Oryzias latipes: one gene and its partner. The protein of the gene in region 1 binds, or shares a complex with, the protein of each later gene. Links are inferred from orthologs where the notes say so. Each region holds a gene or a part of one and is shown on either strand. Other genes may lie near its edges. The genes, in order: cpsf3 and cpsf4.

Region 1 (16,521 bases):
CCTATAATGGAAATTACAGGCCTCTCTCATCTGTTTAGGTGGGAAAACTTGCAGATTAAATACTTTTTTGCCCCACTGAGTTTCTTGATTTTTGGCCTTAAACTGCATAATCATAATTAAAAGACTACAGGGAACGCTTTTACAACAGATAAAAAGATTACCTGAGTGTGACTTTAAACCAACATCATTCTGTGAAATAGTTTAATCTCTGTTTAGTTGCTGTTGATGTTTAACTTTGTTTTCTCAATTTGTCTGCTGAGTTATGTTGATTATGACACCCAAGGTCGCCTTACAGATGCAAAGCAATTATAAAATTCAGTTACAAGAATGAAACATGAGTTAAAAAACAAAAAAATAGAATCATAAATTTATAAGAGTGGATATGCTAGTCTGAAGAGGTGGGTTTTGAGAGTTATAGCAAACTGAGGGAGTGAGTCCATGATCCATAAATCTGAGAGAAGAGAGTTCCAGAGCTGGGGGGCAGAGCAGCTGCATGTTCTGCCCCCCATGGAGATGAGCCGAGTGGTGGGTGTAACAAGCTGGAGCGAGGAGGCAGACCTAAGGGAGCGGGTGGGAATGGCAACATGGATAAGGTCAGACAGATATGGAGGGGCGAGATTATGGAGGGCTTTGAAGGTCAGAATAAAGATTCTGTAGTTAATCTGAGGAGGTAGTGGTAGCCAGTGGAGCTTCTGTGGGACGGGTGTGATGTGCATAGTGGAGGGGGTTTGTGTTCTGATCTGGGCTGCAGAGTTTTGGAGCAGTTGTAGTTTGTGAATAGTTTTGTGAGGGAGTCCAGATAAAAGGGAGTTGCAGTGGTCCAGACGGGAAGTGATGAGACTGTGGACTAGAATGGCTGTGGAGTGAGGACTGAGAGAGGGGCGGAGACGGCCGATGTTTTGGAGGTGGAAATAAGCGGCCCGGATGATGTTATTGTTGTGGGCAGTAAAGGAGAGAGTGCTGTCGAGGATGACACCCAGACTCTTAACCTGTGGGGAGGGAAGGATGGAGCAGTCATAAAAGGAAATGGAGAATTTAGGGAGTTTATTTAAGGTTTGCAGTGAACGAGGATTTTATTTCAAGGAGGCCTTTGGAGACCGAGGCAGGTGGAAGAGTGGAGTCAGGCTCAGAGGAGAGGTAGAGCTGGGTATCATCTGCATAGCAGTGAAAGTGAATGTTGTGTTTACGGGAGAAATAACTAAGGGGAAGAAAGTAAATAATGAATAGCAGGGACCCCAGGAAAAAGCCTGAACACTGTAAACTCAATGACAACCTTTTACATAACACAAACTTTTGTAAAAATAAAAAATCAAATCACTTATTTTTAATATAAAAGCAATACAATGCTTGTCTCCTATTAGCAGATGAGAGAACAACTGCTATTATTGAAGGACAATTATTGGCTAGGAAAAACAGACGAGATCAGACTAAAATAATTTCCATATTAAAACACATTGTGTAATTTAACTCAACTAAGTCATGAGATTGTCATTGAAATTAACAAATTACTATCTTAATGAGACAAACTATACAGAAAAAGCAAAAGGAGCATTTTGTCATGGTACCTCCGGAAGTACTCTCCCCCCTTCTCTTCCTCATCATCCTCAGATTAGACCCAGCTGCCGGCACTTCCCTCATCAAACTCCAGTGTTTAGGATGCCCTGATTCCTGTATTCATTGTGAGTTTGTTGCCTACTAGTGAAGTACCTGGTCTCGTGTGTGCCTCGTTTCCTAGTGATTCCCTCGCTCTTGCCGAACCAAACAATGAAGTTATCATTCCTGTCTGCAGGACAAACCTCACCCACCAAGTGCCGACCTGGATTCATCTCACGCTCCTGATTATACCATCTTGACGTCAAGACCTCCAGCCATGCCACTTCTCTACGCCTCGCTCCGCCACCTGCCCACTTCATCCTCACTCGCCTCACCACAAAGAACCCACAACAACCAAGGGGAATACTTACCGTCTGGTCCTCTCCTCGTCTCAACCTCCTCCAGTGTTTGTCTCCACGGATCTCCTTGTCTACATCCAAGAACAATAAAACTCTTTTCTCTGCCAAGCCCTCGTGTGGGATCTTTCCGGGTTTCAGCTATTGGGTCTGTTCTAGTTATTGTCTATCATGACACATTTAATCGCTCAAAGGCAAAATAGATTGAAGATGGAAGAGGGAAAAAATTCTACTTTCTTTTTTGAACTTGGAAGAAAGTAGAGAAAGGAAAAAAATCTATCACCAAGTTACAAATTAAAAACTCTCTAGTTGAAGACCAAAACACTATTAACCCTCGAGACCAAGGTATTTTACTGACTGTAATGACTGAGTGGGGTCGTTTATGAACCCATTGTGCTACAGGGATCCTTATTATGAATGGCTGATTGGGGGGTTTATCATACTGAAACTACTCCCCGTGTTTAAGACAGGTTTTTTTTTTTTTTATAATCTAATGTAATATGTGTTAATAATACACATTGCAAGAAATAACCAAAACACAGACTTTAAGGACAACATAACATTTATTTAGACAGTCCTTGTTCCAACTTGCAAAAGGACATTTTTTTTTTGCCAACCTAAATGAAAACATACATTATAAAAAAGAGGAGTTTGAGTAGAAATATTTTAACTTATGTTGAGCTAGCATACTGCTAACATCAACAAAAATAATTAGCTGACTTGCTGACTAGGGAATATGCTAAAATTGGTAAGGAGGTCAACCTACTCAGAACACATTCAATCAACCTATGTTACTACCATGCCTGTTTTTAAAACAAAAACCACACAAACATCTTGTTTGTGTATGTGTAATATGATATCAAAAAATAACTGAAAATTGTAACTCTCAAAAGCAGATACCCAGTTATGAAAACAAGTTCCCTCAAAGCTATTGAAACGAAGTTCAGCGATGTACTACAAACCACTTGTTTGTGGCTATGTTCTGGGCACACTGGCTGGTTGCATGAAGCATATGCACGTGAAACTTTCCTGTCAATGTTGCGTAGGCAAAACGAACAGCGCTTGCGTTTGCCAGGTATTGCAGCAACTGCGGGCTGCTCTGCAGGGTTAGCAGGACCAACACCAATGCTTGCTATTCCTTCCCTAGTTGCTTTATGGAGGTTTGGAAACTGTGACCTTTTCTATACATGTGGCTTCACTAGTTCATACCCAAGCTCTCTGAGAAGGGTTAGCCCTAACCCTAACCCTAACCCCTAACCCTAACCCTAACCCTAACCCTAACCTTAACCCTTTTCATCATCACTTTGGGCTTGAAGTATTAGTCCCATTGCTTCAGCAGCTGTAAATCTTGCTAGCCTAGGTCTGTTGGCCATGGTTCACTGCAACACAATATAAAGTACTGATTAGAAGTGGAACATTTTAATAAACTTGAAAAACCAATGTTTAAAAACCAGTGCTTCTCTTCGGGGTCATAAATGACCCCACAAGAGTTGTGATGTCACACAAATTGCCTGATCCCTGCAAAAAACGATGAAACTGTGTAGGATTAGTAGACTGACAAACTCATGGTAGGAAAAAAAATTCGGATAAAAAATAAAGATCTGGCACATTCAATTATATGGCTGGGGTCATAAATGACCCCACCCGGTCACTTGAGGGTTAAGGATTATATCACTAACTTTTTAAAAAACTTTTGTACTTCTCACTTTTCAAGTCACAACATCTTCTTTGAAAAGTTAATTCGGGATAAAACCCCTAAAATAGATGTATTCAGAACCAGAGAGGATCTAAAATAGATCAGAAATATCTAAAATAAGAAATTCAGAGATCTCACAGAATCTGAACACACCTGAACTTGATACGGCTGTTCCCCAAATGGCCAGTGGGAAGTCACCAGGACCTGAGGAATTACAGCTGAGTTTTATAAACACTTTTGGAATAACATCAAAGATTTTTTGCTAGAGGCGTTCAAGGAATTAACAAACATTAAAAGAGGCATTACATCCCTTTTAGCAAAACCAGACAACGGTGTGTTATTAACTGAAAATTGGAGACACATCACACTTCTCTGTTGTCATAAAATATGAGCACATGTCTATGCCAACAGAGTGAAATCAGGAATAGGTCAGATCATAGATGAAACACAGTCAGCCTTTATTAAGGGGCGACACATTCATCATCAGACTTGTTTAATCTTAGATATCTTAAGTTACAACCAAATTATCCCCCATAATAGTCTTATCCTCTTTCTGGATTCTTTTTAAGGCCTTTGACTCATTAGAACACGCATTTTTGTTTAGCTCCTTGGAAACCTATGGCTTTGAATCAAAATTTTGAAACATAAAAAAAAATGATCTACAAAGACATAAATAGCAGAATTATTCTTAACCGAGGTTTCTCAAACAGCTTTCCTGTAAATAGAGGTGTTTGCCAGGGATGTCCTATTAGCCTGTTGTTGTTTATAAGCTCAGCTGAATACTATAGCCATCTTTCTGAAATATTCTCCAGATTTTGCGTTTATTAACATTTTAGGTAAGAATTTTAAAATGAATCAATTTGCTGATGACACGGCTTTATTAAAAAAATATATATATATATATATATATATATATATATATATATATATATATATATATATATATGTGTGTGTGTGTGTGTGTGTGTGTGTGTGTGTGTGTGTGTGTGTGTGGTATATATTGTTATTGATAAAATGTTTTTTTTTCAAGAGCATCTGGCCTTATTCTAAATCTCAAAAGATGGGAAATCTTGCCTATTCATACCTGCACTCTAAGTAATATTGAAAATAACCTGTGAAGTGAAATATCTTGGTCTAATAATGACAGAAAACAGTAATGATAGAGAAAGTGTAAATATTACCCCCAGACTGAAAACAATATAGAAACTTTAAATCAGTGGTTGGGACGTGACTTATCCATATTTGGCCACAATCTATTATCTAAAGCAGAAGGTTTTTCAAGACTTGTGTTTCCCTGCCACTCAATCTATGCATCCCCAAAAACGATCAAGTTGTCTAATTCTATTCTCTTTAAATTTATTTGGAAAAATAAAACGTACTTTTTACTAAAACCATAATTGGTTAGAGATAATAGATAATAATGGCTCAAAAGCTTTAGATGTTGAATTACAAAGTGTAGCATTTAGAATAAATTGGTATCGTATGAAATCTATGTGGTATCATATCCCAAACAAACTCTACCGGAGAACTATCCTTTTGCAGAAGTGTGAATATGATCTGTCAAAAAAACATTTATACAGTCAAACATTTACAAGCAAGCATTAGAATTTGGGAAAATGCCAACAACTCCCACAACTTTTCCCCCCACAATACTGTTTTATGGGACAACAGAATTATACAGTAACTGTAAACAAGATATCCTTGTTTATGTCTTAGTGGTGTGATGATGGTGTGTTTTTTGTTCATGACTTGGTGCGTACAGATGCAATGCTGTTATCCTACAATGGGTTTGTAACCAAATACAAAATTAAGGATTCTAGTTGCTGTTATAAAAAAGTCTTTAAAGTAATTCTCATACCTTTACTTAATCTTGTTCATAAAATATTACCATGCAATCAAACCACACTTTGCAGAGTTAACCATTAATGATATCCCCATAAAAGATAAAAATGCAAAAATAAATTAGTGACTCTAACCTTTAAACAAAAGGTTTTTCTCTCACAATAGACGTGACCCAGAAACCACCTTGATAGACTAATCATTTTCTTTATACACAAAATACTTTCACCTAAAATGAAAGAAACGGATTTTAAATAATATCAAAAATGTACCCTGTTGGAGATTTTTTACATAAAAGATTCAAATTTCAATCCAAACCATGTATTTTCTGAAACTGAAAAATTAGAACACTGTTGCAAAAAGATAAAATTATTCATAATCAATTGTCACTTAAAAATTGTAATATTTCTTCTTTTTCATTACTTAATGTTCTCTTCTTTATGGAAAACCTGAACGTTTCTGATGTCATCAATCTTGTTATTATTTTGTGTAGATGTAGACACTCTATTTAGGTATGTAAATGGGGGGGGGGGGGGTCCTTTTTTATTTATTTTTCAGATATTGTATTACTTTAAGTTTCTTTCCTAAATGCATTTCAAACCAAAACAAGAAACTACATAAATGTACAGAAATATATCCAAACTATTGTTATTTTAAATTGTTTTTTTGCCTTATATTTACCTATTTTTAAGAATTTTTTTAGTTTTTGTTTTTTATTTGGTTTTGTACTTGGTTTGTAAAGAAAAAAATAGAAAGAAAGAAATAGTGGGGGCGGAACTTACAGGCGTTGTGTCGCACGGAGAGTTTTCGGGAAGAACCGGAAGTAACAGCAGGCGCGGCATCGTTGAAGAAGCAAACATGGCGTCCAAACGCAGGGTGGACGCGATGGTTCCTGCTGAAGAGAGCGACCAGCTGCTGATCCGACCCCTGTGAGTGTTCGAACCGAACCCACCGAACACTGCAGCTAGTGAGCCGTCACCGAATAACAACGGACACTGGCGGTCAAACCTAAATGGGCATTTCCGCTCCATGTCTAAACTGAGCGAGATTTATTATGCTTTCTAATATACGTTCATAATTTCTGTGGATTTGCCAGGTTAAAAAAAATGTTGGCTTGTCATCCCGCTGCAGATACATTTTTTTCCACTTTTCTGGACCTTTAAAGGCGTGAGCTCTGAATGTGAACATGATGATGCTGAAGACTGTGCAACTTTTGCCGAAAGAGAAACAATGTTTGAAGACACCAAAAACACCTCAAATGTAATAATAGTTTAATTTTCACAATGAAAACATTAAACTATGATGACGTTTGTTGCAGATACAGAAAGACAGCAGGAAATCAAAGCTCACGTTCATTCAAATTAGTTTATGGAAGTGTTGCTTTCAAGTGCTGTAGGACATTTAAGTCACTGGTGGAAGTCACCAGAGAGAAACAAACTTTGATGTTGACGATCAAATATTTCAAAATAACATGCAGGAACATTTTTCCTAATTAACTTGTAACAAACAAACAACGTGTGATTCCAGGTAGCTGATTCCTTTGGTTTCGACAGTAAAACATAATAATGAAGCTTCAGTTTCCTGCTGAGTTTTGGAGAATGCCGTGTGTGTGTGTGTGTGTGTGTGTGTGTGTGTGTGTGTGGGTGTGTGTGTTTGTGTGGGGGGGGGGGGGTGTGTGGGTGTGTGTGTGTGGGTGTGTGGGGGGGGGGGGGGGGGGGGTTGGGGTGTGTGAGTGAGTGAGTGATGTCCTGGTGATGCGGGTGCATCTTTTTTAGACAAAACCTTTGCATTTCAAATTGCTTTTTTTTAATTTTCTATCGATGAGCCTTGAGTCTCCTAAACATTTGAATGATTAAACTTTGAGTTGGTAGTGATTTCAGTCAAAGTAGTTTCCACACCACCTTATGGTTTCTGAAAAACCCAAAATGGGAATTTTGTTTCTTTTGCTCCCGGCTTTCCAAGGACAAATTAGCAGAGTTAGATTTTTTTTCCATTAGTTTTTTTTTAAATTAAATGAAAATTCATTTAATTTAAATGGTAAATGGCGTATACTTGTATAGCGCCTTTCTTCCTACAAGGACAAAGCGCTTTACAGTCACAGACCCATTCACCCAGTCACACACACAATTTGCTGTTTACAATTTACAACCAGCGTTATTGTAAATAAAAAAATCCCATTAACTTATAGCTGAATTGAATTAATTCAACCTGACAGCTGACTCTGACCTGTTTGGGAGACTCATTGGTGCCTGACACCTTTGGATTGTTGCTCAACAGTTGGCCAGTTATCCCCACATGGTTGGAGTCCTTGCGGCTTGAGTTTCCCCCATGTCACAAGGAGGGTGAGAAGTATCAAACCTCTCCAGTCCAGACTAAGTTCTCTCCATTGGTCTTGTATGAGGTGAAGCTGCAGCGTTGCACATCCCAACAGGAGAAATGACTAATTACAGTGACAAAAATGTAAAGGAGGTAGAAAAACTTGGGCAAGTAGTTGAGGACCGGTCCACAGAGGTTTTGATCACGTTGATCCACAAGTGCCCCCATTCTTTGTCATTGAGTTAAAAGTCTATGTCAGGGGTGTGAGGATCCAGACTTCGAGGGCCGATGTCCACCATCTTTTCCAACCAACCTGTCCTTGTTATTCACCTTTCGGCATATCCCTTCAGGGTCGCCACAGCCAATCAGCTTCCACTGATTCACACAGGTGGTTTGGCAGGTGTCCTTCCTGACACAACCCTGTATTTATATCATGACTGAGGACCCAACCAACCTGCCGTTGAAGCTCCTTATTGGATAAACCCACCAGGTCATGAGCTCCAGACAAGGCAGGATTTCTGGTTGGGCTTTGAGGCCTGGAGTTGGACCCCCCTGGTCTAAGCACTGTGTTTGGGTACTTTCATGAGTAAGCACAGCTCTTTACTGTGTGACTGTTTGATGTGATTGTGACCAGGGGGGCTGGACAAGAGGTGGGACGGTCCTGCATCATATTGGAGTTCAAAGGGAGGAAGATCATGGTGAGATTCTTTTGGTTTTCTTTGTCACAGCAGCTGTTAACATTGTCAACAGCTGTCTGTGTGTTGGTACTCCAGCTAGACTGTGGGATCCATCCTGGTCTGGAGGGGATGGACGCCCTGCCGTACATTGACCTGATCGATCCGGCTGAGATCGACCTGCTGCTCATCAGTCAGTAAGTGAGAGCTGCCGTGAACGTGTGCAAAGGTGCACATGCAGCTTTCCACTAACCATCCATTCTTGTTGTACAGTTTCCACCTGGACCACTGCGGAGCCCTGCCTTGGTTTCTGCAGAAGACCAGTTTTAAAGGGCGGACGTTCATGACGCATGCCACCAAAGCCATCTATCGTTGGCTGCTGTCAGACTACATCAAAGTCAGGTACAACTCGTGTTGGAGTGAAAGTCTTAGGTCTGATGCAGCAGATCCTGTAGGTTAGACGTCTTAGTAACCCTTGTGCTATCCTAGGCACTTTAACATTGGGAGTTGGGTCATCTAGACCCACTAGACAGTGCTCTGAACCTGTTTTCTTCAATGATTTGTGATCTTCATTGGTGTCCATGGATTACATGAAATCTTTCCACCTTTATCCACCTTTGTCATGGTAGGGAGAACACGTCATTGGAAGGGGGGGGGGTCATCTAAAGTAGCACAAGGGTTAATGCAGCTACTTCAGGTTCTCTAGTGATGCCGTAGGACCTGTGGCTGATATTCTGGAGTTGGGGCACAGCTTGGGTTTTTTGTTCTGACCCGTCTGTGTGTCTGCAGTAACATTTCTGCTGATGAGATGCTCTACACGGAGACGGACCTGGAAGACAGCATGGAAAAGATTGAGACCATTAACTTCCACGAGGTAAAGGAGGTGGCTGGCATCAAGTTCTGGTGCTATCATGCTGGCCATGTGCTTGGAGCCGCTATGTTCATGATCGAGATCGCAGGAGTCAAGGTAGGTTTGTGTCTGGATCCGTCTTCCTAAAGCGGTTTGTCTCTGGTGCTCAGTGCTTGTCTGTGTCCCTGCAGTTGTTGTACACAGGAGACTTCTCCCGCCAAGAGGACAGACACTTGATGGCGGCGGAGATCCCAAGTGTGAAACCAGACATTCTCATCACAGTGAGTTTGGCTTTAAACCCCCCCCCCCGATGATCAGATATTTTTCCTCCCCTTAGTGACCAGCTCAGGCGCAGGCTCATGTCTCATGCTGTCTCATGTTCAGACATCAGTAGGGATGCAGTACTGAAACGGTATCGTTTGGTACCAGTGCCACGTCATCAGTTACTGGACTGATAGGTTTCAGCCATAATGGGATCAACGGTACCGGCCAAGTGGGGCAGCAGCGCCCACACAGCGTGCACTACTTTGTTTGAATGTGGCTGCTTTTCCTTTCCTGCTCCAGTACGACGGGGGGGGGCTGCTCATACTTTGTCCCTCATGTATTCCACTGCTAACAAGTGTGTAACGACAAACGCACAGTGATGGCAGAGCGACGCGAGCAAAGGGTCCAAAGTGCGGCTGGATTTTTCTAAAGTACATGCAGACAGCGCACGGCGTCTCAAATGTCACAAAAACGTTGCTTCTGAGGGCGGTTAGACCTGTGAGCTGTCCAAACACGCAGCCAAAAGACACCAGACTCTAGATGGAAAGTGCTCATGTTATTAATGCAAAAACACCGTAGGAGTTATTGAGAATTTTGTTTTACTCATTAAATGAATATACCGAGTTTTAATGAATTCTAAACTAAGAGCTTTTCGTCTCCATAGTCTGTTGGTCTGGTAGTATTGGGTCCTCTGTCCCGTCTCAGAATGGTGTTGAACAAATATCTGATCCTTTCTGTCAGGAATCCACCTATGGAACACACATCCATGAGAAGCGTGAGGAGAGAGAGGCCCGTTTCTGCAACACGGTGCACGACATTGTAAACAGGGAGGGTCGCTGTCTGATCCCCGTGTTTGCTCTGGGACGGGCTCAAGAGCTGCTGCTCATCCTGGGTGAGTGCACAGGCACAGATCATCACCTTCTGGTTCTGAAGCCTGTGATGATGGTGACGCAGAAACTGTTTGTGCCTGTGGTCCAGACGAGTACTGGCAGAACCACCCAGAGCTCCACGACATTCCCATCTACTACGCTTCGTCTCTGGCCCGGAAATGCATGGCTGTCTATCAAACCTACATCAACGCCATGAACGACAAGATCCGCAAAGCCATCAACGTCAACAACCCTTTTGTCTTCAAACACATCAGTAACCTGAAGGTGAGCACAGAACTGCAGCAGCAAAGACAAAGTCACACGCCAAAGCCACATTTCTGACATGTTCATGAAACTCAGAGCATCATTTAATGTGCACTTACTGAACTGATGGCATCACAAAGTTGTAAGTGAAGCGCTGTCCCAACCCCCCCACCCCTCACCAGACTGTCATGCTCTGTCATGGTGTTGCTCAGCCTGGGAGGAAGCTTCCTCCCAACAGTGTGGAATGTGTGACACTGAAGTGATGGAAGGAGAACAGCACAGGCGTCAGGAAGCATCGGCCTCTTCCAGGAGACATGAACACAGTGGAGGAGCTAACTCCAGCTGGAGAGTGGAGACATTGCTGCTCATGTGTGTTCTAGCACTCAACTTTTGACACTTTATTGCATTTTCCTGTTCTTCAGCCTAATGTGACTGGTTCATCTCACACCACTGGAGAACTTGCTGTTTCTCCCAGGATTTTGACATAAAATGTGGCATAAAAAGTCCAGGGAAAGACACTTTTATTTCAACAGAGGCAACATCGTGGTAATGATTTAAGCAGAAAGGGAAAAGTGACACAGTTCCCTCTTATTTAAATGTAGTTTCATTTGAAACAGCTTCAATGTTTGTAAAAGAGGTGGTTAAAGAACAAAAATTAATGACAAATGAAACCGTTAAAATAAGAGTTTCTGTTGAAGCCGCCTCCTGTATTAATGCTGTTGTGCTTTCAGAGCATGGATCACTTTGATGACATTGGCCCCAGCGTGGTCATGGCGTCCCCCGGGATGATGCAGAGCGGTCTGTCCCGGGAGCTGTTTGAGAGCTGGTGCACGGACAAGAGAAACGGTGTCATCATCGCTGGATACTGCGTTGAGGGAACGCTGGCCAAGGTGAACCTGCCAAGAATTGCTTAGCCAAAGCCCCCGTCACTGGGGGGAAACCCCCTCCATCTCTGCAGCGCTTTGAACCAGCTGGAATCCTGCTGACATGCAGCTGAAGGACTGTGGGTGGCAGTGTGTTGCCATGACAACACGGAACACATTAGGGTGAAGATCAGTCCAATTTGACTGAAACACTGTAGAAAACCTGTCAAAAGTAGAACTGATGCTGGTGGAGGAAGCATCGCTGGTCTGTTTGCCCTTCGTCTCTCAGAAGGTTCAGAGACTTGAAGTGAAAACAGAGTCCAGCTCACATTTCCACAGAGAAACGTGCTTCACATTTCTGCCCCTGCTCTGATCCTGCTGTTGCAGCACATCATGACGGAGCCTGACGAGATCACCACCATGTCGGGCCAGAAGCTCCCTCTGAAGATGTCTGTGGACTACATCTCCTTCTCTGCTCACACAGACTACCAGCAGACAAGCGAGTTCATCCGAGCACTCAAGCCTCCCCATGTGGTAATCACTCACACACCTGCAGATCAAGCCCAGATCCATCCTATCAAAGCAGCCGTGCACGCCGAGTCAGCCACATTGAAGTTGAATAAAGTGACTTTGGTGCAAAATGCCAGGCCTGGACTAGTATATCTGTGTTCTACATGTCCTGCACTGTCACCTTTTAGCATGTTGTTTTTGAAGGATTATATTATTCTAGTCACTTTGGTATGTGAGGTCTTCTTTAGCATCTCTGACAGACGGCTCAAACTCACATCCAGGACTGAAGTGTCTGCCTGAACATCAATCCCAAACATTTCATTCTGACTTTATTGCACACATTTAAGTCACATACACTGTGGCTGGAGGTGCATTCAGGAGCTGCATGGAATTTCTGCACTTCAGGTCTGCTGGTTATTTCTAGCATTTGTTCACACTGACCTCAGCCAACAAAAACACACTCTCACTTGTTGCTCTATGTCATTGTGAGTCTTTAAAACGACTAAAGACTCACAACTACAACACACTGGTCTGTATGAACACACAATAATACAAAACGATGCACATATTTTAATACATGCATGTGTTTTATGACATCGGGGAAAAAACAGAAACTTTAAAGGAATTCTTGTCTTGTTTAGATATAGATAGATAGATGTGTTTTGCGGTGTAGCTGTTTGCTGGTTCTAGTGTCAGACCGTCCTTGGGCAAGACACCTCACCCTCCCTGCCCCCTCTGTCAGTCTGCCCCAGGGCAGCTGTGGGTCAAAGGTTACCGTTAGCAAGTGTAAATGAGGAGTGAATGCATAATTGGAAAAATCCAATCCATTATTATTATTATAACTTCCTGTCATGAAGCACAACAAACCCAAATATTGGTAATACTGGTAATGTCTGGATTGAAGAAGTTGTGCATCAGCGCAGCTTCAGCCTTTTGACCTGAAGCTCTGCTTGTTCTGAGAACCTCTAGATTCTGAGGAGCTCAGTGTGAAGTGTGGTCCTCTTGGAGCGCAAAACCAGCGATCAGCAAATGTTTCTGGATCTTCAGATTCTGGTGCACGGAGAGCAGAATGAGATGGCCCGGCTGAAGGCGGCTCTGATCCGTGAGTACGAGGACAACGACGAGGTCCACATCGAGGTCCACAACCCGAGGAATACCGAGGCTGTTACTCTGAACTTCAGAGGAGAGAAGCTGGCTAAGGTAAGTACACACGTGCACCCATGTGTCTGGCTGAAGTCTAATTCCCAGCATGCTGTCTGTCCTGCAGGTGATGGGCTCACTCGCTGACCAAAAGTGTGCCCAAGGTCAGAGGGTTTCTGGGATCCTCGTAAAAAGGAACTTCAACTACCACATCCTGATGCCGTCCGACCTTTGCAGTCAGTACTCTGTGTGATTGTCTTTTTGTGTCCGTGTGGGTGGGGCCACATGCGTGTGGTGGGTGGGGTCACATGCGTGTGGTGGGTGGGGCCACATGCGTGTGGTGGGTGGGGCCACATGCGTGTGGTGGGTGGGGCCACATGCGTGTGGTGGCCGGTCAGAAGATTTCATTAACCTTTTGTGCAGGAAGTTTATGTTCTTTTTAATACAGTTTTGGTGTTTTTTTTGGAACAGCAGCAGCCACTTTCCTTTGCTGACCCAATCAGGGTCTCTGATTGGTTGAGGTCAGGTCTGATTTCATTTGGACGTGTTGCTCTATTCATCTGCAGAGTATACAGATCTCTCTGTGGGCACGGTCACTCAGAGTCAGGCCATCCCCTTCACAGGACCCATCTCTCTCCTGGTCAGTCAATTGAGGAACCTGGCAGGTAAAAGTCACCTGAGCTGCTTCAGACTCTCTGTCAGTCATTGTGTGTTGGTGTGTGTGTTGGTGTTTTTCTCATGGAAAAGTATTTTTGTGTGTTACAGGTGACGTGCAGCAGGTGGAGGGAGCTGAAAAAATTACAGTGAAGATCTTTAAGAGCATTAGTCTAGTCCATGAAGCCGGCATGGTGCAGCTGGAGGTCAGACACACACCCCTCCCAACAGCACGTCACAGTTGTGTACAGGCGTTCAAACATGCTCACACAAATTGCTGCTACCGTCTTGAACGTTGACAGGAATGTGTTGTCTGCAGAGTTGAACTGTAGCTTCATTCCAGCGTCTGTCATGTTTCTCCTCAGTGGAACTCCAGCCCGCTCAACGACATGTATGCTGACGTGGTGGCCACCGTGGTCCTGGAGGTTCAGTCAAATCCCAACACCCAGAAGTGTCAGTAAATGCAGCGCCACTGATTTATTTTGCTCCATTCAGGGAGCCTGTGGTTCAACTGCATCTGTTTGCCTTAGTTCTGGAGGGCCGGAGGGAAACGTTTGACGAGGAGGTGTTTGTGGAGCGACTGGAGCTCATGCTGCAGTGAGTGCACACATGACACTTTTGGTGTGCCACAGCTGAGTGCTTGGGCTCGGATCCCAAGGTGCCGCGGCAGGACGGCCGGTTCAGACGGGCCGTCTTGTCATCGCTTCCTATTGAGGAGTCAAGTGGGCCGTATGGGCCTCATAGTGGAGAAAGATTTCCAAAATCTGAAGGTGTTGTCTTGTTTTGTAGTGACATGTTCGGGGAGGACTGTGTGAACTTCAGCAACAGTGAAAGCTTCAGTGTGATGGTGGACGGCGCCACGGCAACCATCAACCCAGTCACACGAGTAAGTACAGCACATGACAGGAGTCGCACATGAGAGGAGTTAGGGTAGGGTTAGAGTTTGGAGTCACACATTTGAGGAGTGACAGAGATGAGGAGCCACATCCCAGAGGCTCATGACTCTGGACCGGGCTCCTCAGGTCGTAGACTCTGTTCCATCCCTGACAGCCCGTCGTAGCACAGCTGTCACAGGAAACTATTCAGAAGTTTGAACTGCAGGTTGTGTTTATGGAACCAGGCTGACGTCCGATTGTTGGCCTGCAGGTTGTGACGTGTGCAGAAGACGAGCCTCTGAGGGAGATGATTGAAGTTGCCGTTCATCGGCTCTACGACGCTCTCAGCCCCGCCTTTTGACTGGCCCCCCTCTTCCTGGCTAACATTTAGACAGTTGTTTTTTTGTGCCAATATTCTGTGAAACTAAATGATATTAAATAATGTTCATGACTTCTTTGTTTATGGGATTGTCAGTTTTTTGCAAGTGTGTATGTTTGTGGGTGTGTGTCTCTGCTTGTTTTGTCTTTCATGTTTGTTTAGTGAGTGTGTGCCTGTTTGTGTATTTTAAGTTTGAATGTGTCAATGTGTACAGTTGAAACCAGAAGCTTATATACACCACACAGAAACACACATGCTTTTTTTTTCACTGTCAGACATGAAATAAAAGTAAACTTTTCCTGTTTTAGGTCTATTACAATTAACAAAATTATTTCTATTTGCTAAATGTCAGAAATATGAGACTGATGAAAGTCAAAAGTTTACAAGATCACTGCCTATAAACAATTAGGGAAACCCCGCATGATGATGTCATCTCTTTAGAGGCTTCTGATTCGTTTATTGACAGCATCTGAGTTCATTAGAAACATACCTGTGGATACATATTAGGCCACATTGGAAACACGCTTACTTGTTTGAAAAACAGACAGTCCGAAGAAATCCGTCAAAATATTAGGAAGACAATTGTGGATTTGCATAGGTCTGGTTCATCCTTGGGTGCAATTTCCAGAAGCCTAAAGGCCAGAAGCCTTCATCTGTTCAGACATTTGTACACAAGTAATGAACACCATGAGCTCTGTGGTTAGCGGTCTTGCCTCACAGGAAGAAGGTTCAAGTCCCAGCTGGGGACCTGAAACAGAACATCAATGGGGGACCTTTCTGTGTGTGATTGTGGCCCTGCAACAGACTGGGGACCTGTCCAGGATGTCCCCAGCCTTCATCTGTAAGTGGCAGGGATAGGCTCCAGCAGCCCCATGACCCTGAAAGGGACAAACGGAAGAAGATGAATGAATGAATAGATGTAAACATAGAATTTGTGTTATTTTTTTGTGTTTTTTTTCCTGTCCAGCAAGTGAACACACAGACTGCAACTGAGCTCCTCTTGTGATGGACGTTTTGCTTTCCCAATCAGGGTTGTCTGTTACTCTTTGAGTGTGTTCAAATAAACCGCTTTTGTAACTGAAGCTGAACTTTATTGAGTTTTGGCCGTTCAGACAGGATGAGAGGAGGAGAGACAGAAAGAGAGATAAAAAAGGGGGAGGGCAGACGATGATACAAGGTCATGGGAGAAGATGATTGTCATGCATAAACTACATACATTGATGCACATACAGACACATGTACACACACACCATCACATGGCGTCCACACAGCTGTTTACAAGTCGTAACCCTTGTATTATCCTAGGCACTTTACTATTGGGAGTTGGGTCATCTAGACCAGTGTTTTTCAACCTTTTTTGAGCCACGGCACACTTTAAC
Region 2 (16,747 bases), on another chromosome or scaffold:
AGATGTTGGTCATGTGGCCCAAATGTTCTATAGCACTGCCCCTTCGCAAAAAGCCTGTTGGTGTTTCAATTATTAACATGTTTAAAACGCATTTAAAAAAACATAGGTTGTTGGAACTTATTCCTCAGTTTATTCCAACAGAAAAACAGTAGAAAAGACAAGTGATTTTATAGTTTACTTTAACCTGTTTGGTTTTTGGTCATTTTAAAGACTGGGATGCAGCAGAAGAGAGAGAAAATAATCTGAGGAAGAGACATGAGGGGGAATTGAACAATTTAGACTTTGTTTCTTTGAAACAAACTTTAGCTTCATCATCTGGACAAAAACATGCAGTAACTTTCCCTCTGAACTGATGCTTTATTTCACAGTAGCAATCTCACTTCGCTTTGGATGGTCAGGCTTCTGCATCGTCCATTGTTTTCTGATAATGCATACCTCGTCGAGCATCGTTCCTTATGTAAGGCCCATGTGTCAAACTCAGGCCCGGCCCACCCGGGGTGTAATTATAGTTGGCCTGTGAGATCATAACAAATGTATATCATATACTGTACCACTAATACTACAAATCCCACAATGCTTTGCTTGTATGTTAGCGCGCAGTCGAAACCAGCAAGCGCTCCTCTTTCCTGTGGACTCTTTGAAACGCGGTGTCCCGCGTTGTCATGGTAATGGCTACAGAACACAAAATCTAAATAGTTCCATTTCTTCGTGTCTCATCTCCTTTTTCAGATTCTCTTCTCTCTTCTGCTGCTTTGCAGTCAAAGTGATCAAATTCACTAAACAGGTTCAAGGAAACTAAAATGTCTTTTTTTGCTTTTGTTGTAAACTGTGGATCACCGTAGGCTTTGTCTACATATGGGTTCTGCTATTAGAAGTTTCTGGTCAATATTGTTTGGATTGCTCTCTAAAGTGTTCCTACGGTTTTTTGATGTTAAATTACAGAACTCTAGACCAGATCTTTTTCCCCAATAGCTTTAGATTAGAAAAGAAAAAACTATAAGTGGTCTAAAAGTAAAGGTTGGAAGTTTGTCACGATAAAAAAAACTTCAAACCCACTTTTGTTGTATTTTGATCTTTGAAAAAAAAAATAACCCCTACAACTTTAAATCATCAAATCAGAGACACTTAGCTCTAGACTCTTAATCCTTAAAGCAGTTTTTCCTTTTGCTTTCAGGCCACGACAGATACTACAACAAGTACATCAATGTGAAGAAGGGCGGCATTGGCGGCGTGGCCATGCTGCTGGTCGGATACGTGGCCATCAGCTACTTGTGGGAATACGACCACATAAGTGAGATTCTTACCATCTGAACTACGTTTTTCCTGGTTTGGTTTGCCAGATTTGCTGAACATCTTGTTTTTTGGTAGAACACGATCGCTGGAGGAAGTACCACTGAGTCCCAGCAGCCATCGGGGTGAACCGTCACATCCTGGCACCTCCTGCTTCTATGCTCAGCTCTGTTGTATTAATGTGACCAATTAAAGACAATACCAGTTTCATGTTCCAGTGAGTTTGTTTAGTAATAGATCTGAATATCAGTGGTTCTGACAGGAACGTCTTCCAGTCTGTGTGTGACAATGGCTGAAAAGACAAGTTTCAAGTGTTCAATCACACACACTGATTGTGTTGACATCCCCACTATGGGTCATCACTCAGATTTATTAGGAAATTACAGACAGTAGCACTTCAGTGAAGCACTGACGAGAATCCTACCAGAAAAAAAATCGCAATGGCACCTTTAAAGAGGCTGGGAACTGGAACTATCGTTTTAAAGCGCACATCTTTGAGTCCAGACTTCGAACTGAAACCTTTTCTATCGTCCACATCCTGCAAAAATCAGGTTTCGTCTGTGTGAATTCCCACAGGAGAAAGTTTGAAGTCTGTTCACCGTGAGGACGAGGGCGTCCTTCCATCTCCTGAGGCAGCACACTGCAGCCCAAATTACTGTCCACTCAGGAAGGCAAGGTGGCCTTTGGTACATTTGTTGGCGTAGTGGCCCTTCTCACCGCACTGCAGACAGGATAACAGTTTGTAGTTATTTCAGAATGTTTAACCATTAAAGATCAGAGAAGGAAATACATGATTCATAAAGACAATGTAGCACAAAATGCAAATTTAAACTTGAAAGTTCAGGTTTTATCCCTTGTGCTATCCTAGGCACTTAGACATTGGGAGTTGGGTCATCTAGACCCACTAGACAGTGCTCTGAACCCTTTTTCTTCATTTTATTGTGATCTTCACTGGTGTCCATGGATTACATTAAAATCTTCACCTTTATCCATCTTTGTCATGGTAGGGAGAACACGTTAATGTAAGTGTGGGGTCATCTAAGATAGCACAAGTGTTAAACACTTGATCATCACACTGATCATCTTTTGATCTATAATAAAAGCATTCCCAGTGGTCTTTTCATTATGATTATGCCATTTTTAGACAAAAACAAAACTGTTTTCCGAGACATAATTTCTGCAGTGCAGCAGAAGTTCATTAGAATTTCTCCTCTGAGTTGGGGGTGGGACCACTGCTGCAGAGTGAGCCCACCCCCACTTCCTGTCACCCATCTATTTACACTCTCTCCTGCAAGCTTACAGCCCCTCACACCCCAACATAACATTAGTGCTGCAACAAAAATGGCGAGCAATATTGGAGCTATCCAGCTGTACAGTTTTGAGCCAGATGCCAGCTCAGACAAAAAGATGTTCATGAATCCATTTGTCTGACAGTGGATGCATCAGAATGGAGCTTGTGGCCCGCCCATTGTATTTTCTCAGAAAACTGTTCTCCATCCTGAAAAAAACCTCAGAAATGCAATTTTGTCTTCCATAATCATTTTTTAAAACACCAAAAACATTGTTTTCATCGATGTGGGTCTTTAAACCAGCATGATATGGCCTCAACTATTACTTGATCTTTTACATTCTGGGAGGAGCTGTGAACCTCAAGTTTCATAAATTGTGCATTAGGGCTTTACTTAAAAAAAAATGAATTTTATTTTTAATATGCATTGTCAGTTAATCAAATCCATTACCAATTTTTTTTTGGCAATTTCTATTGTAGCTTAAAAAAAACAAAAAAAAATCAATGTAATTTTTATTCAGAAAGTTGCACCTTTGTTTAGTTTAAATAATCAGTTAAAAGGAAACCGTTTTCATTTATCGAAAAATCTGCTCCAAAATTACTTTAATTTAACATCTGTGACAGCAGATTTTATAGCTGAAAATACATGTTTTTTGGATTTGAAAAAACAATTCCAATGAGCTTTGTTTTCCCTATGGGGGCGTAAGGAAAGGCTTCATTAACCCAGCTCTGTTACTGTGACCCCAAAAGTTACAACACTATTTCGACTTATTTTCCTTGCGCAGTATTGTTATGAAAGCACTTTTTGAGTTAATGCCAAAATGGGTTTTCAAAAAGCTGCCGTCCACCTGCCATTTATGAATTAAATAAAATTTCTGATATATTGGAAATGTTTTTGTATACTAGAGTTTGCATTATAGTTGGTGATGGCACAAATGTCCAGGAGAACATTTCCTGTCATAAACCAGGGTTGCTCACACTTTGCGCGGGGAAAGTAGTGACTATCTGATGACAGAATTTGCGCGCAGTGTATTTAAACACACACGTGCAGTGACGTATGTGTCTGAGGATATTTGATTGGCCGTTCTCCATGTCAATCAAGTGCCGTACTTCTCGTGAGGATTTTGATTTGCTGATGGATTTTTTTAATTCACTTTTTTATTTTTCGGTATTTGTCTTTGCTGGCCTGCTATCTAACCTCATGTCTTTGAAGATCGACCGGTCGATCGCATTCGACGTCATGAGCACCCCTGTCAAACGTTGCTAACAGCTTGTAATGTTAGAAATGACCAGAAGAGGGCACTGGTAGGTGGAGCATCAGGGTACTGATGTGGAGAGAGACTCCAAAGAAGAGTTGGTGATGCACTGGGACTGTATGTCGGAGAGAAACTGAAGAATAAAACCGAACAGATTGAACCCACAGAGAGTCCTGAATTCTATTTTTTGTCTGTAAGATAAACACAGACATTACAGCCCTGATTTATGTTAAACTGCTAATGTTCCTCACTGCAGAACAATGACAGAACAAGAGCAGAGCCTCAGGCGACTCACCTTGTAACAGGTGACCTGGTCGAGAGGTCGGGGTCCTCTGTTGGCATTCATGTTGTTTTGATGAGAAATGATGTTTGTGTTGTTCTGCTGGCGTTGGCCTGGACTTGAGTTGGTCAGCTGGATGAGAGAAAGAGACGAGCGTCCGCTGGAAGCTGCAGTCTGTGGCAGAGAATGAACAGAGAGCTGTAAAAAAAATCCCATTGAAGCCCAGAAATACTTGAAGCACTTGCAGGTACTGAATCTTGGATCCATTTTCGCACCTTTCCCTGGTTTTGTATTTGCTGTGGTAGAGGGGGCTGTTCAGATGTTCCCATAGGCAACTCAAACCGCGGGCTGCAGAGGAACATTTATCATCACATGATGTCGCTCACATTCAGAACTTTACCCAAACCAATTACACCATTATTGAAAGCAGAAATGTTTACTTACTGCATAAATTTACAGGATTTGCCTTCTGGACAGAAGCCCACCAGATAATTCACACAGATCACTCTTCTGGTGTGTCTGTGTCTGCAGTCAGGACCTAGTGGGGAAGGAGAACAAAATGAAGATTACTTATATCAGTGGTTCCCAACTTTTTTCAGGCCCCGGTCTGATTGAACAGTCAATATTTTCACACAGCAGTCTGTATGAGACTGAAAGGGACGACCAACTTTTTTTTATCTTTGCCTTCAGTTTCCCTTTAACTTTTGAGGGTCAAGTTTATCTTCATCGTCTGTAAAATATTTGTATTTCTATGGATATAGTTCACCCTGAAAGGCTTAAGAAAAGCAGGATACAGGCCCGTTAATCCATAACTGTCAAAGTGGAAGCTACAAAAATCGAATTCCAACTTCAGCCTCGTCTGACTTTTAAGGACAGATAAATATGAAAAATAATTGTGTCTAAAAATTGTATTTTCTAAACATACTAATAAACCATTTCAGCAACGTTATTTGCAAACATCCTCGTAACATTACACAGCAGGTTGCTGAATATGATGCCCCATTGTTATGGCGTGTGGGAACAACTGTCACAATGAATCCACATTTGCAGTAAAGACTCCTGGTTTTTGTCTGTTCAAATGCAGATTTCTTGTATTTTGAAGATAAAGGCTCTTCTTCTGTTTCCTCACTTAATATGCTCTATGAACAAAAAAAACTTTCCAGGAACATTTGCGTTTTTGTCAGCACGTCACTGAGCAATTTGTTATGTGTCAAGAATGAGTCAGATGTGGTGGGGAGAATTCAGAAATTTTTCAAAATAAAGCCTCTTTCCGAATCAAATAAAAAATAAAAACGGTAAAAATGTGGGTTACAACGAATCCAGAGCACGAAAACCTGACACTGGGCTGGACCTTACCGTGTTTGCAGAAGCCTCTGTCGTACCAAGGACAGTCTTTGATCTTAGACTCTGGATCGATGTGCAGGAAGGGACATTCCTTGTTGCTGCACTCACCTGAGAGCCAACACACAGTTTGAATCTATCAGACCTGCGTGCTAAGCAATGGAAAGCGTTTTAAACGAGGAAGTCAAGTGAACCCACCAAACTTTGAGTAGAAATAGCATTCAGGCATCTTGGTCATGTCGTATTCGTGCAGAAACTCGCACTGGTCTCCCTTCTTACAGAGCCCTCTGAGCCAGTGCTTACACACCACCGTCTTCTCCCCGCTGATGTGACGGAACGGACACATTCCACCTGAGAGACACAGACACAGCTTTGTGGATTCATACGACACATGCAGGGATCGTTTTCCTCACTTTTATATGAAAGCGTGACCCACCAAAACCTCACACAAATATAGACATACGATTAAAAATAAAGTCTCTGCAGAACTGCCTTCTTTGTAACCCCAGAAATGTAAAACAGGTTTTAGGGTGCACATAAACAGGACAAAATAAAAAGTAAGAAGGCCAGACAATAATGATTACATAAATGATTACATCCAGACCTTTTAGCCGTATTTTGCTCATGTCTGCCTTAGTGTGACACTGAGTACATACAGAAAATCACAATAAAACACAAGAAGTTAATGAAATATAGAGCTGTAAAAGGTAAACTGAACATCACGACAGTGAAAGCCACGAACGGGCAAATGTCCCAACTAAATTCTGTAAAAATCTTAATCAGTGTAAGTCATCTATTAAAAAAAAATGAAATCAGGATTTTACAAACAGCAGTAGTTTGTAACTAAAGCTCTGGCTCATTATTTAAGAAAAAGGAAATAAGGTTATTAAAGAGTTATTTCATAAAGTTTAAAAATTATTTTAAACATTTTTTACAAGTTAGCGTTTGTCAATAGAATGCAAATAAGGTTTTAAAGAATAATTATTTCAAAGCAAACTTTTGCAAAGAAAACAAAAAAGTTTAAATTTACTTAGTTTACCAAACATATCCAGAAAGAAATAATAATAATCACCATTAACCATTTTAAATGAAAGAAAAATATTTAAAAATAGTTGTATCCACCTCTTTAGTTTATCAAAGAACTTTTTTTCAGCGGTTTATTATTTCTGTAATAAAAAAGTTATAGTAAACTGGTTCCCGCCTACAACGTACTAAAATGACAAACGATACCAACAACATGTAAACATTGCAGTTTCCTTCCAAATAAAACGTTTCTGAACATTTAAAACTGTTAAATGCAGATAATAATAGCAGCGCAACAGATGCTTCTGACTGTAGATGCTTTACCTTTCATACACGTTCCCTTCATGAAGAACTCGCACACAGCTGAGCCGGACTCTGCAAAAAGACAACATTATAACTGAACTGACAATTATAACGTGTTGTTTCTATTAAAAATAACAGAAACCAAAGAGGGCGAACCTGAGAAAAACTATGGTTATTCTCAACAAAAAAAGATGCTAGCATTAGCATAAGCTAGCATCCATGCACTTACTGTCCATGCCGGGAAACGGCAAAGGCTGCGCTCCCAGCTGCTGCTCCACAGCGATCTCCAGGTCGAACTTGATGTGATCCACGTTTGCTAGTAGCTCCTGCATGTTTGCCTTGAGTTGGTAGCTTTCAAAGCAAAGACTTGTTCGGTTAACTTAAGCTAAGATAGCTTAATGTCGAAACTGTTAGCCGGCGATTCCCTCATTAGCCAGCTAAAGTGGCTAACGGGGCGAGCCAGGCGAAACAACAAGAGCAGAGGATAACAATGAGATAAGGTAAGGATCACCGAAGTCCTTATATCAACTATTTCCAAACAAACAGGTGAACATGACTTAATATTTTTGTCTCCGAATCGACAGAGGTTCTGTTTGAGGACGCGCGCACATTGACCTCTGACCTGACGAATTCAGACGGATCTAAACGATTGTCGAGCAAGTCGAGTGATGTCACCGTTGAGTTAACCAAACCTGTTCATTTCTGACACTTTGCCTCTGGCAAATGACCAAAAACGAATGAAAATTTCATTTATTTTACTATTTTATTGTTTAGACATATTGGACACGTATGTGCATCTGATCATTTTTCTTAACTTGCACCTCGTGTATGCATTTCCATGTCCAATTATTTATAAAAATAAACAAAAAACAGGTTAAAGTTCAATTCAGAGATTAGCATGTCACACACCAGATCATGAATACAAAATGCTTTTGATGCTTCATCACTGCAAACCCCTCTCCTAAACAAAAAATCACTCATTCAAAGTCTGGTATGATCAACCAAATGATTTGATCCATTGACTGCATAAGAGACTCTAATACAACGTTGTGATCTGCTGGTTTTAGGGTGAAACACGACGCTTCAGAAATGAGTAATTGTTCAGCATTTTATAATCATTGGAAGCATGATGATATGACATGTTTAAGCAAGAATAAGCTTTCTAAGCTTTTATTGTGTTTTTCTACAGTGGAAAAAGAAAAAAAAAACAGTATTCAATACTTTAATACTTCAATACATAGATGCTGAAAAGGCTTTTGACAAAATAGATTGGACATTTTGCAAGTTCGATTATTAGTTCGAATTTGGAAAAACATGTAATTGTTGGTTTAGATGCCTGTACAAGAACTCTAAATCAAAGTAAAAATGATTGGACATTACAGTTTTTTAAATAATAGAAAATAAAATAAAGGGGAGTCAGACCTTACCCTCTACCCTTTTTTGTATCAAACCTCTAAGAGAGATGATACATCAAGAAATTCATACAGGAGTTTATTTATAAATGATCCCTTTATGCCAATGATATTTTGCTATTTGTTAAAAGCCCGTTGCTTCAAGACTTACGTCATGTTGACAGGAATATAGACGTTTCAGGCTATAAAATAAACCAAAAGAAAGCAGAAGTAATGATGTTATCAGGAATATGGCAAAATAACCTAAAACTTTAGATATCAATAAAAATAAGAAGATTTTATTGTATTAGTCTTTAAAAGGACAAAGAAAAAACAGTATTCATTGGCGGTTTCATGAAATCTTTTTATTACAGTGAATGAGTTACACATACTCATGGAATGTTTTTGGACTTAATTTACTAAAAATCGAAATTCCAGTCATGAATTTCCAGTCAGTTTTGATCGTAACATCTAAAAGATGTGAATCCCAAGTAAAACATCAGGACTCTGTAACATTACTAAATCATGACACAATGACATTTGCAGGACTGAGCTTAAATGTGTCTTTAATAAAAACAATTCTATTGAATTATCAAGTGAGGAATGCTTTAAGGTCAGAATACACCCATTGACTGGTGTGTTTAAACAATAAACGTTAGTCCAACTCTCGTCTGGCCTCACAGTTCCGGCAGGCCGGGCATGGGGAACTGACCGGCAAAAGCCTCCACCTCGGCTCTCAGCGCAGCTACTCGCTCCTGAAACTTCTCTCCCTGAGCCAGAGCCTGGACAAACTCCTTCAGAGTGGCTTTGGGATCCTGGCTCCTCTGCACATCCAGGGTCAATTCAACAGCTACAGGAAAAAACATTGGCGAAAGTCACGTTTTGCCTGAGAAACATCACTTTATGTTTTTAGGAGCATTTTTAGATGGATGGTGCACCTTTGTGGATGAACAAAGCCACCTTCTTGAAGTCTTCCTCCACCAAGCCCCTGGAGGTCAGAGCTGGAGAGCCAAACCTGAGTCCACTGGGACGGAGAGCGCTCTTGTCTCCTGCAAAAATACAACAAAAAAAAAAAAGATATTTGAAAGGTTCCTTCCCTCTTAAGCTTACAAACTGATCAACTCATTTGCACCCCAGCTTATGTCTGAATACCTGGACAGGTGTTCTTATTGCAGGCAATAGCACAGGCCTCCAGCACCTTCTCAGCTCGTCCACCATCAGTACCTTTGTTGCGCAGGTCCAGGAGGATTAGATGGTTGTCAGAACCGCCTTTATAGAAACACAGAACATCAGAAAACATCCCATGGAAGAAAATCCATATAATTACAGATCTTACCAGTAACAATCTTGTAGCCGTGGCCCACGAGGGCATTGGACAGAGCTTTACAGTTAGCAAGAACCTGCTGCTGGTAGACCTTGAACTCGGGAGTCATGGCCTGTTTGAGAGCCACAGCAACGCCTGTAAACCAGAGAACGGGGGAAGCAGATGCTGACATGGCTCAAGAGCTTTTAGGATGAAAAACAGAGAAGAAATGAACGACAGGACACCTGCAATAGCGTGGTTGTGCGGTCCACCCTGCAGCCCCGGGAACACCGCCTGGTTTATCAACGACTCCAAGTTGTACAGAGTCTCTTTTCCTTTGGCATCAACACTCCTTACTCCTGGTTAAAAGTCCATTTGTTACCAAAAAAATCCTATGAAAGTTTTTCTTTTGAAATGTTATTTTTTTTTTACCTTTTCTGTAGAAAATGACTCCAGCACGGCAGCCGCGCAGCGTCTTGTGGGTCGTCGTGGAAACAATGTCACAATGCTCGAAGGGTGACGGCACAACCCCAGCAGCTACTAAGCCACTGATGTGAGCCATATCTCCCATCAGGTAGGCGCCGTTCTCATTAGCAATCTGCTTTAAGCGGGCGTAGTCGAGGTTGCGGGAATAGCAGCTGGTTCCTACGGGCAGATGGAGACAGTTTAGGAACATTTTAAAGCAAACTTGCAGCCTGTGCATGTGTGTGCGTTTAATAACCTGCAATAATGAGCTTAGGGTGAAACAGTCGTGCGTTGTCTTGAAGTCTGTCATAGTCGATGTAGCCGGTTTCTTGATTCACCTTGAAAGGGAAAAAAACATCAGCTGTGTGGTAACGTCCGTGTAGTTTAGATGGTTCACTCTGAAGGTGCTTCTGTTAGTTGTCACTTTTTATTCATACACTTGTGTCTTTGAGAAACATCCAGAATTCGAGCTAACAACATATATGCATACTCATTTTGTACCTTATACGGCATGGACTCAAAGAAGATGGACGTCGCAGAGATCTTCTTCTTATCGGTCATGAAGCCGTGTGTCAGGTGACCTCCGTCAGGAAGGTCCAGCCCCATGATCCTGCCATGAGGTTCCACAACAGCCGTGTACACAGCAAAGTTGGCTGGAGAACCTTCCAGAAGAAACACAGTACCGGTAAATGAAATCCATATTTTACAGAAGAGCTGCCTCCAGAAGGTTTACATGGAGGAGCCATAAAGAGCCCAAAGAGAAAATCAGAATCTGTCAAAATGTTTAGAAGATATCGTTTATTTTCAAATACACTAGACGTTTGGTAAATGATACCAGCAAGAATTTTCAATCCCTTTAGGAGCAACTCAAGACACTGCCCCCTACAGGTGGAGATGGGAATTGTGGTTTCTGGTTGAGTCTGCACAATAAATTGGTGAAAAAGCATAAATATTTGAGTCATTACTTTTTGGTTTCCTGCCAATGAAACAACTTGTTTATTACATTTTTGCTATATAATTTAACTTTATTTTTCAAATTATTCATCAAAAGAGGCGAATTTCAACTGGAGGGGCCACTAAGGTGGTCAGCAGTGTTCAGAGGTTTTCAATCACGTCGCTTAAAATCAGTCACTGCAAGAGTTTGATACCTGAGTATGGCTGCACGTTCACTCCCCATTTCTCTGGGTCCAGACTAAAGGCCTCCAGTGCTCTCTTCTGACAAAGCCTCTCCAGCTCATCAATATGCTCTGTGCCACCATAATACCTAAATAAACACACATCCAGAATTATAGGTAAACTAAGGTAAACTTCAGTGTTCTAGTAATGACTCAATCCTGACCTTTGGCCAGGATAACCTTCAGAGTACTTGTTGTTCATGCAAGAACCCAGAGCTTCAAGAACAGCCCTGCTGGCAAAGTTCTCAGATGCGATCAGCTCCAAGCCGTACGTCTGCCTCTTCTTTTCTTTCTTTATGATAGAAAACACCTGAATATAAACAGAAACACTGCCATCACAACAAGCCCGACCTGAAAAACCTAAAGAAATGTTCACAGTGCTGCACGTTGGTGAGGAGAGACACAAACCTCAGAGTCGTTGACAGCCAGAGGCTCCAACATCATCTTGTTGTGAGAGTCCCAGATTTCTTTATTAATGCTGTGGCCATTCGTCAAAGCCATGTTTGTCTCTTTACTGGTTGGAAGCAGATAAAATCTAAAATAATAAACAGAAGTTGAGGCAAATCATTCAACCAGAAAATCCACTTAAAACTTTATCAAAAAAGGAATTAAGTGTCAAAGCCACATGGATATCAATTCAAACACAATCATAGACACGACGCTGAAGTTGGCTTCCGATTCACAGCTTCCGATTCGCGAAGGCACAAAAGAAACATTCCGCTGCATTTTTCGCATTAAGATCACCCAAAACCGGGTCCTGTTCAAAAACCGCTGGACCTGGACTGCTCAAACCTGGATTAAATTATACATTAGATACTAAAGAACACATTAAATATAGTTTCTGATTTGTGAAACCTTCCTCTGATTTGTGAAAATCTGAAATAGATTGATGTTTATCGCATTTTACGCACTGAGTCCACCTTAGACCAGGTCCTGTTCAAAAACCGCAGGACCTGGACTGCTCAAACCTGGATTAAATAATAATTTAGATACTAAAGAACACATTAAATATAGTTTCTGATTTGTGAAACCTTCCTCTGATTTGTGAAAATGTGAAATAGATTGATTTTTACAGCATTTTACGCCCAGAGTCCACCTTAGACTAGGTCCTGTTCGAAAACCGCTGGATCTGGACTGCTCAAACCTGGATTAAATAATAATTTAGATAGTAAAGAACACGTTAAACCCAGTTTCTGATTTGTGAAACCTTCCTCTGATTTGTGAAAATGTGAAATAGGTTGATTTTTATCCCATTTTACGCACTGAGTCCACCTTAGACCAGGTCCTGTTCAAAAACCGCAGGACCTGGACTGCTCAAATCTGGATTAAATAATAATTTAGATAGTAAAGAACACGTTAAACCCAGTTTCTGATTTGTGAAACCTTCCTCTGATTTGTGAAAATGTGAAATAGGTTGATTTTTATCCCATTTTACACACTTAGTCCACTTCAGACCAGGTCCTGTTCCCAAACCGCAGGACCTGGACTGCTCAAACCTGGATTAAATTATGCATTAGATACTAAAGAATACATTAAATATAGTTTTTGATTTGTGAAACCTTCCTCTGATTTGTGAAAATGTGAAATAGATTGATTTTTACAGCATTTTACGCCCAGAGTCCACCTTAGACTAGGTCCTGTTCGAAAACCGCTGGACCTGGACTGCTCAAACCTGGATTAAATTATAATTAAAATAGTAAAGAACACAATAAACACAGTTTCTGATTTGTGAAACCTTCCTCTGATTTGTGAAAATGTCAAATAGGTTGATTTTTATCCCATTTTACGCACTGAGTCCACTTCAGACCGGGTCCTGTTCCAAAACCTCAGGACCTGGACTGCTCAAACCAGGATTAAATTATAATTAAAATAGTAAAGAACACAATAAACACAGTTTCTGATTCGTGAAACCTTCCTCTGATTTGTGAAAATGTGAAATAGGTTGATTTTTATAGCATTTTACGCACTGAGTCTCAAAATCTCAACATACAAAAGAAACTGGGAAACAGATGTCAGATTGGACAAATAGTTATGGTCATGGTTAGCATGTACCACTGACTTAAGTTTTGTTTTTCTGTTCAATATTTCTTGGTTTGTTTTCTGATTTACTTTAAAGTCCCTGTTATGGTGTTTTCCTTAAAGTTGTCCTTCCCTTGTCCCCATTATCCTTAAATTGCATAAAATTCGATGAAATGATACTTTTTCCCACAGTGGTGTTTGAACAGGACCCGGTCTGAAGTGGACTTAGTGCGTAAAATGTGATTAAAAATCAACTTATTTCACATTTTCACAAATCAGAGGAAGGTTTCACAAATCAGAAACAGCATTTATTGTGTTCTTTAGTATCTAAATTATTATTTAATCCAGGTTTGAGCAGTCCAGGTCCTGCGGTTTTGAACAGGACCTGGTCTAAGGTGGACTCAGTGCGTAAAATGCGATAAACATCAATCTATTTTAGATTTTCACAAATCAGAGGAAGGTTTCACAAATCAGAAACTGGGTTTATTGTGTTCTTTACTATCTTAATTATAATTTAATCCAGGTTTGAGCAGTCCAGGTCCTGCGGTTTTTGAACAGGACCTAGTCTGAGGTGGACTCTGGGCGTAAAATGCTGTAAAAATCAATCTATTTCACATTTTCACAAATCAGAGGAAGGTTTCACAAATCAGAAACTGGGTTTAACGTGTTCTTTACTATCTAAATTATTATTTAATCCAGATTTGAGCAGTCCAGGTCCTGCGGTTTTTGAACAGGACCTGGTCTGAATTGGACTCAGTGCGTAAAATGCGATAAAAATCAACCTATTTCACATTTTCACAAATCAGAGGAAGGTTTCACAAATCAGAAACTGGGTTTAACGTGTTCTTTACTATCTAAATTATTATTTAATCCAGATTTGAGCAGTTCAGATCCTGCGGTTTCTGAACAGGACCTGGTCTAAGGTGGACTCAGTGCGTAAAATGCGATAAAAATCAACCTATTTGAGATTTTCACAAATCAGAGGAAGGTTTCACAAATCTGAAACTGTGTTTAATGTGTTCTTTAGTATCTAATGTATAATTTAATCCAGGTTTGAGCAGTCCAGGTCCAGCGGCTTTTGAACAGGACCCGGTTTTAGGGTGGTCTTAGTGCGAAAACTGCAGCGGAATGTTTCTTTTGTGCCCTCGCGAATCGGAAGCTGTGAATCGGAAGCCAACTTCAGCGTCGTATCATAGACTGACGAGCCATCCTCCCAAACTACTGATACATTTCAGACAAAAGCTTCAAATTCTCTGCTGCCTGACACAAAATGTGGCAAAGATATGGTCTCAACGAGTACCCTTTATACCACGACGGTCCTGTCAAAACCATGTAAACAACACATTCCTTTAAAAATCTATGAAGTCTCTCAAGTTAGGAGTCTGCACATGACTGCGATCAGCTGCCACAGCGAGCTCGTGCGTTTCATTTGCAATCATCATCCGCTCAACAGACGCGTACATCTGAGCTAGAAAAGCGACTAAAAGTTTAAAGAGAAGCCTGCAACGATAAATAATCACAGTAAATCGCAATAAAACTAAAAACTAGCTTAGTTTTGACAGCTGCAACCATTTTATGCCAAATACCAGGCGGATTGACGCTAAATCAGTATGAAGATAAAATATCTTCCTTTTGGACGACAACTAATTTTACCAGCTTTGAGGTAAAAGTGAACTCACTAAACACCCGTTAGACTCCCGCCGCCGTCTGACGCGACACAAAAAAATGTTATCTAACCGTGAACAAAGTCCGCGAAACTTTCTACCAACCCGCTCTCGACTTTTTTCTTCCTGAGTTAGATTGACGTTTTGAGGCGCAATACCGCCATCGTGCGGTCGGAGTCAAAACTACGTTTTTTTTCTTTCTTTCAAACATGAAGATACTTTTTTGCAAACACCAAACAAAATATGTTCTTTAAAATTATAGTTGACAAAAGAAAAATTACTTTATAAGGAGTAGCTTTTTTTGTTTGAAAATGCATTGAGTTATTGTTAAATTAAGTTTAGATTGCAAAACTAAGTTTTGTTGACAAAACATTAACATGGTTTTCCTTAAAATTTTAATTCAATTCAATCTTATTTATATAGCCCAAAATCACAACAACAGTCGTCTCAGTGGGCTTCGTACAGGTAATAGTAAAGTACACATAAAATCAAAAAGGATCATGAATACATAGAATCCAATTGGAAAATTCTAAACTGAACTAACTAAAAAGACTGAACTAAACTCGACATCCCTGCCCTTAGACCCTCCTTCGGGAGATTAGGAAAAACTCCAAAAAAACAGATTCCGGAAATAAAGAAGAAACCTCAGGGGTGTCGACATGAAGGAGTGATCCTCCCCCAGGACGGACAGGCGATGTACCAGAACTCTTGGAGAAGAAATAGCTTCTCTAACTCTACAACTTCATATTTAAATAGTCCATCATATGGGCTTCATCCAGATGGAGATGTTGGACAGCTGAGGGCGCGAGACCAGCCAGAGTCAGGATCCACACCCAAGAGTAGGAGCAGGAGGAGCAGAGACGAGCCAGGGACCAGGGACTTGGTCCGGTATGGGAGCACGGATGAGCCAACTGGAATCTGGAAGAGGGACTGTACAAGAATCGCACTGTACCAAACAGGGTCACGGAGAACTAAATGATAAATGATCAAGAACAGAGGAGAGAAGGAGAGTAGAAGTAGATGAGAATAGAGGACAGAACCCCAGTGCATCATAGTTTCCCCAGCTTCAAACTCCTAGCAGCCTAACAACAACTAATTGTTATTAAGTTTAATTGATTAATTAATTAATTATTAATTTTTGTATATTAACTGTTATTAAGTTGAATTCAAACATGTTAATAGTAAGTTAAATAATCTCTGAATACTAGCTGGTCGGACAATAAGCCTGTCCAAAGAGGAATGTTTTCAGTCTAACTTTGAATGTAGAAACTGTGTTGGACTGTCTTACATGAGCTGAGAGTTTATTCCATAAAACAGGAGCTTGGTGGCTAAACGCTCTACCTCCAACTGTACTTTCACTAATTCTAGGAACCACAAGCAGTCCTGCAGTTTGTGAGCGAAGTGTTCTGTTCTGTTTTAGGTAAATTCATTGTATTTCTGGGTGAACAGCAATGCCCTGCACAGTCATTGTTGAGCTAAGCTGAAGCCCACAAATGCTCAAAACATCTCTGATTTTAACAAAAATGTTGTCCTTTCCTAATTTAATTAAAACCGATTTGAAAGTATACTTAAATATCAAACATGTTTTATTTCAAATCAAAACAACAATTGCATAAACTAAAGTGAGTCAATACAAGACTTTGAAAATTTGATTTGAAAGGGGATTGGAAGAAGTTTATGCTTATAGGAATCCAATCCCACACTCAACACCACTCATAACCGACGACAACAAAATTAAACATTTGACATTATAACGTTAACACACGACAAACACAAGACAAAGACAGACAAACATGCCCAAACACTCCGACCACACCCACGTAAAAGAGAAAGAAAAAAAAAAGGAAGAAAGAAACAGGATGCCTCAGCTGAAATAGAAACAACAAACCAAAACATACCAACAACACGAGTAAGCATATATAAACACATGTTCTATTGTCTTTTCCTTC

Evidence for each region.
Region 2: cpsf3 (region 1) and cpsf4 share a complex: the UniProt entries of both Homo sapiens proteins name them as parts of the cleavage and polyadenylation specificity factor (CPSF) complex. The link is inferred for Oryzias latipes from reciprocal best matches to the Homo sapiens genes CPSF3 and CPSF4.

Annotation. Positions count from the first base shown.
Region 1 is NC_019882.2:22,746,285-22,762,805, reverse strand, and holds cpsf3 (cleavage and polyadenylation specificity factor subunit 3), read left to right. Parts: upstream 1-6,285; 5' UTR 6,286-6,342; coding exon 6,343-6,413; intron 6,414-8,434; coding exon 8,435-8,498; intron 8,499-8,573; coding exon 8,574-8,671; intron 8,672-8,747; coding exon 8,748-8,876; intron 8,877-9,263; coding exon 9,264-9,441; intron 9,442-9,515; coding exon 9,516-9,605; intron 9,606-10,329; coding exon 10,330-10,480; intron 10,481-10,566; coding exon 10,567-10,742; intron 10,743-11,452; coding exon 11,453-11,611; intron 11,612-11,971; coding exon 11,972-12,118; intron 12,119-13,141; coding exon 13,142-13,294; intron 13,295-13,361; coding exon 13,362-13,470; intron 13,471-13,800; coding exon 13,801-13,899; intron 13,900-13,999; coding exon 14,000-14,094; intron 14,095-14,253; coding exon 14,254-14,341; intron 14,342-14,418; coding exon 14,419-14,485; intron 14,486-14,677; coding exon 14,678-14,774; intron 14,775-15,034; coding exon 15,035-15,124; 3' UTR 15,125-15,217; downstream 15,218-16,521. UniProt on the Homo sapiens protein: Component of the cleavage and polyadenylation specificity factor (CPSF) complex that plays a key role in pre-mRNA 3'-end formation, recognizing the AAUAAA signal sequence and interacting with poly(A) polymerase and other factors to bring about cleavage and poly(A) addition.
Region 2 is NC_019866.2:19,278,707-19,295,453, forward strand, and holds cpsf4 (cleavage and polyadenylation specificity factor subunit 4), read right to left. Parts: upstream 7,429-16,747; 5' UTR 7,114-7,428; coding exon 7,011-7,113; intron 6,854-7,010; coding exon 6,803-6,853; intron 5,807-6,802; coding exon 5,654-5,806; intron 5,567-5,653; coding exon 5,471-5,566; intron 4,653-5,470; coding exon 4,559-4,652; intron 4,463-4,558; coding exon 4,390-4,462; intron 4,289-4,389; coding exon 4,130-4,288; intron 2,012-4,129; coding exon 1,943-2,011; 3' UTR 1,623-1,942; downstream 1-1,622. Other genes in the region: atp5mf (ATP synthase subunit f, mitochondrial), read left to right, coding at 1,175-1,291, 1,369-1,397; shmt1 (serine hydroxymethyltransferase, cytosolic), read right to left, coding at 8,850-9,022, 9,111-9,221, 9,325-9,441, 9,509-9,631, 9,721-9,834, 9,908-10,120, 10,197-10,278, 10,442-10,602 and 3 more. UniProt on the Homo sapiens protein: Component of the cleavage and polyadenylation specificity factor (CPSF) complex that play a key role in pre-mRNA 3'-end formation, recognizing the AAUAAA signal sequence and interacting with poly(A) polymerase and other factors to bring about cleavage and poly(A) addition.